Danio rerio: one gene and its partners. The main gene of each other region encodes a partner of the protein of the gene in region 3 in a complex. Links are inferred from orthologs where the notes say so. Each region holds a gene or a part of one and is shown on either strand. Other genes may lie near its edges.

The links.
Region 1: the proteins of snap29 (region 3) and stx17 are in contact, whole or in part, in a crystal structure (PDB 4WY4), measured with the Homo sapiens proteins. The link is inferred for Danio rerio from reciprocal best matches to the Homo sapiens genes SNAP29 and STX17. Residues at the interface, in NP_004773.1 of Homo sapiens: Arg52, Thr56, Ser59, Thr60, Arg62, Ser63, Leu66, Glu69, Ser70, Val73, Gly74, Ser77, Glu80, Leu81, Gln84, Val87, Leu88, Thr91, Met94, Val95, Lys97, Met98, Asp101, Leu102, Ile104, Ser105, His108, Ile109, Ser111, Ile112; in NP_060389.2 of Homo sapiens: Glu170, Trp172, Glu173, Leu175, Glu176, Leu179, Ile180, Ser183, Val186, Thr187, Phe189, Ser190, Val193, Asn194, Gln196, Gln197, Ile200, Ile203, Ala204, Val207, Asn208, Ala210, Ala211, Val214, Glu215, Thr218, Leu221, Gly222, Ala224, Ala225.
Region 2: the proteins of snap29 (region 3) and vamp8 are in contact, whole or in part, in a crystal structure (PDB 4WY4), measured with the Homo sapiens proteins. The link is inferred for Danio rerio from reciprocal best matches to the Homo sapiens genes SNAP29 and VAMP8. Residues at the interface, in NP_004773.1 of Homo sapiens: Leu206, Leu209, Ser210, Leu213, Leu216, Lys217, Ala220, Leu221, Met223, Gln224, Ile227, Glu228, Gln230, Asp231, Leu234, Leu237, Thr238, Val241, Asp242, Leu244, Asp245, Ile248, Lys249, Thr251, Glu252, Val255, Arg256, Leu258; in NP_003752.2 of Homo sapiens: Leu16, Glu19, Val20, Val23, Ile26, Met27, Gln29, Asn30, Arg33, Ile34, Arg37, Asn40, Leu41, Leu44, Lys47, Thr48, Asp50, Leu51, Thr54, Ser55, His57, Phe58, Thr61, Ser62, Val65, Lys68, Phe69.

What each region holds. Positions count from the first base shown.
Region 1 is NC_133191.1:30,526,253-30,529,033, reverse strand, and holds the end of stx17 (syntaxin-17), read right to left. Parts: intron 1,381-2,781; coding exon 1,144-1,380; 3' UTR 653-1,143; downstream 1-652. UniProt on the Homo sapiens protein: SNAREs, soluble N-ethylmaleimide-sensitive factor-attachment protein receptors, are essential proteins for fusion of cellular membranes.
Region 2 is NC_133180.1:28,878,249-28,882,529, reverse strand, and holds the start of vamp8 (vesicle-associated membrane protein 8), read right to left. Parts: upstream 2,957-4,281; 5' UTR 2,874-2,956; coding exon 2,847-2,873; intron 1-2,846. UniProt on the Homo sapiens protein: SNAREs, soluble N-ethylmaleimide-sensitive factor-attachment protein receptors, are essential proteins for fusion of cellular membranes.
Region 3 is NC_133183.1:3,058,347-3,062,486, forward strand, and holds the start of snap29 (synaptosomal-associated protein 29), read left to right. Parts: upstream 1-1,311; 5' UTR 1,312-1,388; intron 1,389-3,188; exon of another isoform or gene 3,189-3,217; 5' UTR 3,218-3,218; coding exon 3,219-3,467; intron 3,468-4,140. UniProt on the Homo sapiens protein: SNAREs, soluble N-ethylmaleimide-sensitive factor-attachment protein receptors, are essential proteins for fusion of cellular membranes.

The DNA of each region.
Region 1 (2,781 bases), on a different chromosome or scaffold from region 3:
CAGAGGCTTGTGTTATCAAAGCCTTAAAGGGAAACCTCAGTTAAATCTATCAGCCCCCCCAGCAGAACATAGAAAGACACAAAAAGCCCGCGTAAACTCAGTGTAGAAGGATGTTGAGCTGAAACATCTGGATCCTACATATCAATTGCTTTAAAATAAAATAAGACCATAAGAAATAACATTTCATTTCCACACTTATAGTAAAATATCGCAAATAATTACCCAAAAAGTAAAATGTTTTCTTCAATGTGCAGTTATAACTGAACTAACCTTACACTGAATATTTTGCCACAAAAAATGTAACAAAAATAATATATAAACAAATAATTTGACTTCTCTATAGTTATCCATTATGAATATTAAGTGTTATCACAAGGCATTGAAGTCACTTTGAAATTGTATTGATTGAAAGCACCCTGAGATGATCTGAAATGTCTATCAAAATATCATTATGGCAAAGTAAGTAAAAGGTTATAAGCAAGTTATGGAAACAATGTTATTTTTCATTTTATAATTTCTATTAATGATTGTTTATAGTTTATAATGTTAATTCTTAAAGTGATTCTCACTACTATGCATTGCCAAGACCTTATAAAGTACCCATCATCATCTATTCATAACCCATTGACAAAAATAAAAGACAATCTCAGCCTTTCATCCCAATTGTATGCGTTTTATAATGGAATTATACGTGATAATATAATTTTAGCACAAAAAAACCTACATAATTGTTGTAAACAGGAGTATGTCACCTACCACAGATGTTCACCATGTATAATAGATCATACTGTACAATAGTTTGAAATAAGAGAATCTAGCACAGTCGTACCCGCCTTGTACATCCATAACCTAGAATCTCTAACCACTTCTAACACTTCTATTACTGCTTCAAAGGTCAATCAGCTGTTTAGCAGCAGATCATATGGCCCTGTTTGCTTTGGCATAGAACAAAATGTTGAATTAAGGCAAAAGGGAAATTAGCAGGTCCACTTGCATGTGCATGTTTGCACTGCATGTAGGAGTTACTGTGCAGATGTGGTTGATTTCTGCATGTACGTTCACGAGCGTCTGCTGTTTATTTGAGAACACGCGTGGGTCGTCTAAGTCTGCCGTCTCATGGATTCCTCCACGAAAACAAACGTGTCACTGAGTGTCGTTCTTACTGTTGTTGTTGCTGTGAAGCTCTTGTAGCTGCAGGTCGATTCTTTCTTTCCTTTTGCGTTGGATCAAGTTTCCGCCGGCAAAACCAAGCAGTCCACCTCCAAAGGCAGCGGCGACCCCCGCCACTTTAAACCCTGCTAAGAGTCCCAGCGGCCCCCCTAACACTCCCCCGACCACCGCTCCTGCCACCGGCAACACTGCCAGCTTCGCACGGGCCGCCTGCACAGAAATAGAGCACATATAGAGATAGATAAACATCATGATATACAGGGCTCAGCATAATTGAGTACACCCCATTTTGAAAATGAATATTTTTATCCATTTCTTAGAGAAGATAGGATATGGATTTTTTGGTGCAGTTAAACAAACTGATTTATCAAACAGATACATTTATTAAAATAATATTTAGTCACCAAACATATTTAGAAATTGAAAGGTAATACAATAAAAAAAAATACATTTTTCTATTTTTTTGCTACTCTTATATTTTCCTCTTTTTGAAATTTGTATTTGTGACATAAATTTGATGTACTAGTTTTTAGACCGTTATCGTAAGTTATTTTGTTAGATAAGCACCAGATTTGGCTTCAGTACTGACTAATGTAATGTATATGCACAAATAATATTCTTTGTAGCTTTCTATAAAAAATATGAATTTAAAAGATAGATTTGTAAGGGATGTACTTATATATGCTGAGCCCTGTACATCATTAAACATCATTTATACATGTTAGCATATACAAAAATCCACCGTACAGGGGAAATTATTAATATTAATGATAATTGTCTACAATGTTATTTTGACAATAGTATATTAAATAATATTGAATCCCTTTACGATTATTATAAAAACAATGCCTATTATTATTATTGTTGTTATTATTATCTTCCTATGCTATAATTAAGATTTATATTAATATTTTTTAATATTTACAGTGGTTTTATAATAATAATAATAATAATAATAATAATAATAATAATAATAATAATAATAATAATATTGTTAGTATTATTATTAATAATAATAATAATAATAATAATAATAGTAATAATAATAATAATAATAATAATAATAATAATAGTAATAATAATAATAATAATAATAGTAAATATTATTATTATCTTCTATGACATATATTTCAAATCATTCAAATGATTTTTGAATGGTCATACTTTACATTTTTTAATAAATGTTTTTTATTTAATATAAAAATATATCTATTAATTTTAATTCAGCATTTTAAAAGATACATTTAAAAAAATCTCTAAAAAAATTTAAAGTTAGGATGTACATGTTTTTTTCTGTTTTATCAGTATAGTTATAATACTGACATTTTTTACTTCACACTTTAAAAAATAAAAAAATAAAAACTAATTTAATATTAATAAATAAAAATCCAAAAAGTAAAAAACATGATTATCATATTATCAAAGTGCATCCAAGTCAATGTTTGTAGTTTCTTCTCATATATATTTGAAACATCGTATAGAAAAAGAATCCTTGTGTCTCTGACCCACATGCAGTGTGTGTGTGTATGTGTGTGTGTGTATGTGTATGTGTATGAAAGCATCAGACAGGTGAGAAATGAATGATTTATGCAGCATCAATGTCCCAAAACA
Region 2 (4,281 bases), on a different chromosome or scaffold from region 3:
CTTTTTTATCTCTAGTTTGAAAGGGTTCTTTATAACACCTAAAATAAAATGTTTCATGTTTACATTTTTCCAAATAAATTCTCTCCATGAATCTGAATTACCTGTGATCATCTGTGTTTCAAAATAGTTAACCATTCCTTATTTGTTACAAGCATGTTCTTTTTAAAGTAAAGTTTATGAATGCTTTGGCAATACATTTCTTACAATTGTCATGCAAATAACACAATTATTGAATTTAATTGATTTGAATTGACAGAGAGAGAGAGAGAGAGAGAGAGAAAAAGAAAACTGCGTTATGCCAGAAGGCCAAATTATTTAGAAAAGAAAAAAGTACAGAAAACAGATTGTTAGTGCTAGAAGTAGATCAACCTCTATAGACAGTATTAGAACAAATAAAAGTGTATTTGAAGAAGAAAGTCAGAGCTAGGAAGTTTTATTTAAAAAGGATAAGATAGACATTTTTCCCAGAGATGGGTTGTGGCTGGAAGGGCATCCACTGTGTAAAAATGTGCTGGATAAGTTGGCGGTTCATTCCGCTGTGGCGACCCCAGATTAATAAAGGGACTAAGCTGACAAGAAAATTAATAAATGAAAGAAGATAGACATTAGATTAGAAAGTGTACGAAGGTCAACGGTATTACATAGAGTGCATTTTTAAGTACAAACATTAATGTTCAACATTGTCCATTATTGGTCAAGAGATATCGGAGCTTAGTACTACATTGGTTTACTAGAGAATTATATCAACTACTTTACAAATGTATTTATTTTTAATATACTGTATAATCTTAAATGTGCAGCACACAATTTGAATTTGGTTTAATAATTAATTTGATAATAATTTATTTGATCATTTGGTTTTTAGATGTTGAGCATGGAAAGATCCAATATATCCAACATGATGTGTACAGTATGTGTGCAACACTGCGATATATTTACACATGTAAAAGGCATGCAATAACATCAACATTCTTCTTCAAAAGTATTTACTGCTTTACTTAAAGTATTGTAAATTTGAAGTATTTTAGAGAAATGAAAAGTATTTTATGACATTGCATTAATAGGATTGGATGAATGCCAATTTTAACATTCTGAAATATAATTCAAATACAACAAACTGAATTTGTGTGACTCAATTGCATTTGACAGAATATTTAATCCAAATAAAAACAACTCCAAGACATCATACAGTATAATTCGCCTGTAGTGTAGATGTGGCACCTTATGTGTGATACTCGCAAAACCAAACAAGAAAGCCTAACCACATTCACACATTAAAGCACCAATAAAATACTGCTACACTTAAACATAGAACAAGTCTCATGGAAGCAATCTTTAGCCGTTAATTGTGCAATTTGTGTCTTAAGAGTAAACTCTCTGTGCTTTTTACACGTTCAGCCATTTTAAACACATTTAAGCTCTCCTGTTCGGCAGATACCTCATAAACAAAAGGAGTTACCAGGAAACCAAAAGCATTGTTGCGTCACTACCTGTCCTGCCCTTCTATTATACTCAATGGCTCTCTCTTTGTGTGTGTGTGTGTGTTGGTGTCACAAGACCTACAGGATGGCAGAAAGCTATTAGGTAACATCTGATACTGGCAGTTCGAGGTACCAATATTGTGGCAAAATAGTGTGATGTGTGCGATCCACTTTATAATGTGACAGAAACAACATGATAATTAAAAAGAATATAATTTGGTATTATGTGAACCGCAAGTATGTTTTGTTGAAACTGTTTTTTTTAATTAAAACTTAAATGTATCAAAGATATATAATGGGATAAACAATCATCTTCAATGAAAAGTTCACCCAAAAAAGAACATTTACTCACTATTTAGTCACCCTCAATTAGTTCCAAACCTTTGAGTGTCTTCTGTTGAAAGAAAGCCAAAAACATGTAACCACTGAATTCAATAGAAGGAAAAACAAATACTATGCAAGTCAATGGTTACAGGTTTCCAGCTTTTTTCAAAATACATATCTGTGTGTTTTATGTAAGAAAGAAAAATCAAACAGGTTTGCAACAAGGGTAAGTAATTTTCCATTTCTTAAACTTGAGTTTCTTTAATATTTGTATTAAACAACGACATGCTTGCTTCCTTCAAGGACCAGCATTCAAATGACAAATTGAATATATTATTTATTTAAAACACTACAGACAAACTTTATCTTAACCACAATGCCACATACATCGAAGTAACGTTAGTCTCTACACTGTGAGTGGAACTTGTGAAATGATTTTAAAACCAAGTGTTGACAGTTGACCAACCTGATCTGAAGCAAACGAGCAGGAGGACCTAACACTTCTGGTTCAGTTTAACAGTCAAAGAGATGTGTTATGTTATCAGCACATTTGCAAGCTGAAGTTATTGTGAATATATTTCTAAACTGAGGGCCCATTCAGTAAGAGTGGAGCTCAACAGTATCATGCAAACCGGTTATGCTTCGAAGCTCAAGGTAAATTCAATCCATCTGAGTAAACAAATCAGTACAAGAAAATTCCAATATAAACGGTACTAATCTCAAGTATAAATGTGTTATTTAAACATTACATTTGTATAAGATAACCAAGCAAATTATCTACATTTGCTGACAACAGGAACGTAGAAACTTAAGTAAAACTTGAAAAACAAGCTTCGCCCTGTTTGGAGTGCGTCAAACTAACACCAACCGGTGAAAAACAAGACACGCACACACACTGACTTGTTCTAATGTTTGCACCACTAAAAGTAACATTCGCACAGATATCAAGAGAAATTAAGTTCGCACAGTTTTGTTAACTATAAACTTAAAAACGATGCAACAAAAAGCACCTGCTGACTGTTGTTAAAATTAGTGACTTACCGTACTGTTTGGATCAGTTACACCCATAGTTTCACCAGCTTCTTTTTATTTACTCCACAATATAAAAAATACACGTTATCCTTTAGAATTAAAATGTTTGCAACTGTTTTCTAGTGTAACCGATAGATGTACGCCGTGTCAACACTTCCTGGTCTCTAATTCACTCTTCCTCCAGCAGCGAATGACTTGGCTTTGGCCCACCTCTGATGCGACACTTCCCATAGCATCCTCAAGATGGCGCCGGGTTCATCTCACAAACACACCTGTAAGGTGAGTGCAAATACTATAATCATGCCATCTAGACGTCTTCCCGGCAGGTATGAGAAGCGTCTTGTAAAACCGGATTAGAGTGAGTTTTCTAAAAGTACTGATGTGTGATTAAACTCAGTGGTATTTATAGAAGTTTATAATTTCAAGCATGATGAAAACTGCTTAAAAACAAAGTTAAAATAGTTCAATTCCTATGCATGAAACACAATACGTCTTCAACAACTCCACCTAAACGCCTTTGGCATTGCATGCATTTAAAGCATTATTCTATTTAAAAAAAAATCATACTAGACACAAAACCAAGCATAAATGTGACAACACGTTTTATTTTTGAAAATGGTATGTACAATACACATCTAAAAGAAACCTCAAAGTTAAGAAATTATGTTTTACAATTTAAATAATGCAATAAAAAAACAGTGACACTGAAAACAGCACATTAATATTTTTACTTTTTACTGAAGCTGCTAAAGTTATCAAAACGCTTGATTTTAAAAGCAAACATTATTCAAACTGCACCATGTTGAGTTTTTTCCTCTTGGTGAATGCTTCTGACATCTTTCACTTTCACTTGTGTGTGTGTATATATATATATATATCAATAAAAAAGTCTGTGGTTTGGTATTTCCCTGTACAACATTATCATAATCCTGACACCACCGTCATCATCCTCCTCCTCCTCCTCCTCCTCTTGGCTATACTGTTTTGTCCCGACATTTGTATTTTTACATGCCATGGAGAACAAAAGAAAGCGGATTTACATTTTGATACAAATGACAATTTGTGCATAAAAGATTTGTGTCAGATTTTCAGTGGCCTTGTTTAATGATGATATCAGTCATGCCATCAATTTTGTGCAGCTCCAAGTTCTGTTGATGGAAAGAACCACTTTTAGATTCACAGCAATTAAATACACAAACAATAGGTTTCTACATGCAGGTTACAAAAACAAGTTTAAACAAGACAGCATGCTAACAGTAAATCAACACTGAATATTTATTAGATCTTCGTCTATAGTAAGCGTTGAACTATTTTAAAGTACTCACTTTCTCATTAGCCAAGTGCAGAAGGGCCACGAAAGCCAAGGGTACTGACAGATTAGTAGCCATGGCAGAGGGAAGCCTACAAAAAAAAAAAATGTACAGTGAATGGATAAACAAAATTG
Region 3 (4,140 bases):
GTCTGCATTAAAGCATCATCAGTGTGTATTTCTCTTATTGGCTCTTGACACTGATGGATATTTACACTGCTGATGGGGAACAGTAAAATATGAATTCAATTTAAGCTTGATTAAAAGACATAAGAAGGTAAAGTAATAATAATAACAATAATAATAATAAATAATATATTTTTTATTTTATATTCAATGTTTAGTAAAGTAAAGCTTTCTTAATAGTTATTAATAATTTATAAATAATGAAATAAATTATTATTGCTCTAATTACCACTGCTAATTATTATAATTATCATTACAATAGTATATTTAATTAGTATAAATTGGGTATAAATGTATAATTAAACATCATATTATATTATATATAATATGTAAAGTGGTTTATAAAAGATTGAAAATAATTAAAAAATGTTTTATTACAATACAAATACAATAATACTAGTTAAAATACAATAATAATATTATTAATAATAATAATAATAATAATAATAATAATAATAATAATAATAATAATAATGACAATTCGTAGTAGTAGAAGTAAAATTAAAAAATAGATAAATTTATCAACTATTATTAATTATAGAAACAATATAGATAATAATTATAGGGACAATATAGATGTTTAACCGTGATAAACATCATATAATATTATATGGTATAACTAATATGTTTATGTTTTATGGATATGTTTTAATAATAACAATAATAAATATAATAACTATTATTAATATCTAACTATTATTAAATTTAACAATAAAAAATAATGATTAATACATGTATAAAAATATAAACATAATAGTCATAATCGTAATTAAAGCAGCACAGTTAATATTAGTAGAAATGATATATTGTTATTATTTTAATACTTATTACTTACAGCAATAATAATACATTCATATTATAATTTAGAAAAGTATATAAATATTAATAATAATTATTAAAAATAAATATAATAATTATATACTACTAATAATGACTTTTGTTTTGTTTTTTGCTGTTATTATTAATATTTTTATCATTATTATTATTATTATTAATAATAATAATAATAATAATAATAATAATAATAATAATAATAAATGAATAATAATTTTTTAAATATTTAGCCTTTTATTGTTGTTCTGGAACAATTACAGTTTATTATCTGTCAAGGAAAAACAGAAAAGTACAAACGTGGGCTTAAACACTGATCTCTATATAGAATGACTATTTTCTATGTTCTCTATCCATACGGATCGTCATCTGGCACACATGATTTATAGATCAGTAGTGTTGCGACAAAGTGGAGCCAATATATGACGTCACCGTGACACCACCGGAAATCGTCCGAGCAGAAGCGTCAGCTGATAACAGGAGAACAGAACAGAACACTTCACCTTTTCCAGCGACCAAAGGTACAAATTCAGCGATAAAACGTTCAAAATATAGTTTGAGAGTTATGTTAAACACGCGATTTATGTTATTAAATATAACGTAGGTCATTTGTAGAGTCTGTGTTAGGTAATATAACGTACTATAGCCGAGAAAGAAAACAGTAACAGGCGACTTTCTACAGCATATTCACCTGAAATGTCGTTAAATGTTGAAGATTATATAGGATAATAACTGTTGTAAATGTTATTATGCTCAGTCTGTATATATGATTGTTTGTCGGTGAGCATTTGCCAGATATAATAGTTTATTCAGGACAAACTTCGTCCATTTATCAAGATCTATTTAACTATTAACAGAAAGTACCGTCTTTTTAACGTTTACCATTAGCTATAGAGCTACATCTGCCTTATATTTAATCTTTTACAGCAGAGCAAATTAAAATTTAGCATTGTACAACCTTTTGATCTTCCACAACCTTTTTATTTCAGCTTAAATATCTGTATTATTTGGTCCTTATGTTTTAGCTTATTACTCCTATATACTGTGGTAAAACATAGAGGTAAAGTTGGTTTTATATTCGCACATTTGGACTTTCCCCTAATAATATAACTTCATCAAAGTATTATTTGCAAACTCTAAATAGCGAAATCAAATTAGCAGCCAATGAATGAAAGTACAACATTGTTCACAGTCAAATAAACAGTGTTAATGTTGTTTTCAAGTCATACTTACATGCATACATATACATATTCAAAGTAACACGGTAAACAATATGAAGACAGCTAAATGAACGAATATGTGAATATAAAACTAACTTTACCTCTATTGGTAAAACAGTGTTGTGTTTTCTTTAATTTATACAGGGCTGGGCCAAAATACATTGAAATGTATTTTTAAATCAAATACCAATTATCTTAAGGTAAAGTGTATCAAAATAAACTACAAAATACAGCAGCCACAAAGTTTTTTTTTTTTTTTTGCTATTGAGTATTGATTTTTGCTTCAATACTCAATGTAAAAGCTGTGTTAGATGTTTTTAATTATTAATTATTTGTTTTTCATATGTTGTGACATTTTACAATTTGCATCTTTTCTCTTCATTAACTGTACAGTGCACCTACTGATCAACTACTGGCATTTGAAACAGCCAATGCAGTTTTGTAGCAAATGTATATATATATATATATATATATATATATATATATATATATATATATATATATATATTTATATTTAGGTATGTATGTATCTCTTAACGACAATGTCTGTCATCAATAATTTACAGAACAAAAAAGGTTTTACTCAAACAATTACCTATATATTAGCCAAAAGGTCCATATTTTTTAACATAATTTTAGAAGAGGTAAGAAATCAATATTTGGACCAATCTGAACTTTTAGTGGGCGGCACTGTGACTCAGTGATTAGCACTGTGGCCTCACAGCAAGAAGGTCGCTTGTTTGAGCCCTGGCTTGGTAAGTTGGCATTTCCGTTTGTAGTTTGCAAGTTCTCCCTGTGTTGGTGTGGGCTAGTCCAACCACATGCGCTGTAAGTGAATATAATAAGCTAAACTAGCCGCAGTGTATGTGAGTGTGTGTTCGTGTTTCCCAGTATTGAACTGTGGCTGGAAGAGCATCCGCTGTGTAAAGCAAATGCTGGAATAGTTGGCGGTTCATTCTGCAGTGGCGATCTCTGATTAATAAAAGGACTAAGCCGAAGGAAAATGAATGAATGAACTTTTAGTGTCAATTAAAACAGTATTATTCTTAATTGGACTACATGTAAACATTGCTATTTGGCATATATCTATTGGTTGAACAGCTCAGCTCTGTCTTCTGGCTCCAGCACAGGATGTCTGCCTACCCCAAATCCCACAATCCTTTCGCTGATGATGATGAAGAAGAGGACTCGCGCACGGCTCCGAGGAGAGGCTTTAACTTCGATGATGATCCGGAGGAGAGTTCGCTGAGTCCGGCAGAGAGAAGGCAAAGGCAGCTGCAGCAGGAAGTGATGCGTACAGCTCAGTCCGCCGTGGACAGCAGCCACCGCTCGCTCGGACTTATCTACGAATCAGAGAAAGTCGGTGCTGAAACCGCAGAGGTGAGACCAAGAACATACAGTTGAAGTCAGAATGATTCTTCCACCTGTGAATTTCTTCTTCAGATATTTCCCAAATTATGTTGATTAGACTAAGGAATTTTTCACAGTATTTCCTATAATATTTTGTCTTCTAGAGAAAGTCTTATTTGTTTTATTTCGGCTAGAATAAAAGCAGTTTTTAATAATTTTAAATCCATTTTAAGGTAAGTATTATTAGCCCCCTTAAGCAATATTAGTTTTGGATTGTCTCCAGAACAAACCACTGTAAAACAATGACTTGCCTAATTACCCTAACTTTTCCCTAATGAACCTTGTTAAGCCTTTATTTATTTATTTATTTATTTAAATTTTATGTTTACTGTGAGCATTCAATTGAGTACAATCATACAGCATTTCAAGGTACATTGGTATCTCAGTATGTGACCTTGAGTTGTATAAAAATTACGTACATTATTGTCAGGTGTATTTACTACACAGAAGTACTCAAATTTTGGAAATTATAAAATGAAAAACAGCATAAAGAGAGAAGAAAAATAAAAAAAATAATAAGAAAAAGAAAATAAAATTAAATATAATAATCAAAAATAAATAGAAATAAAGCACTTTTTACATCCAGGCTAAGAATGCATGTCATAATATAGCTCCTTCCAGAATAACCTCAACTGACCATCTT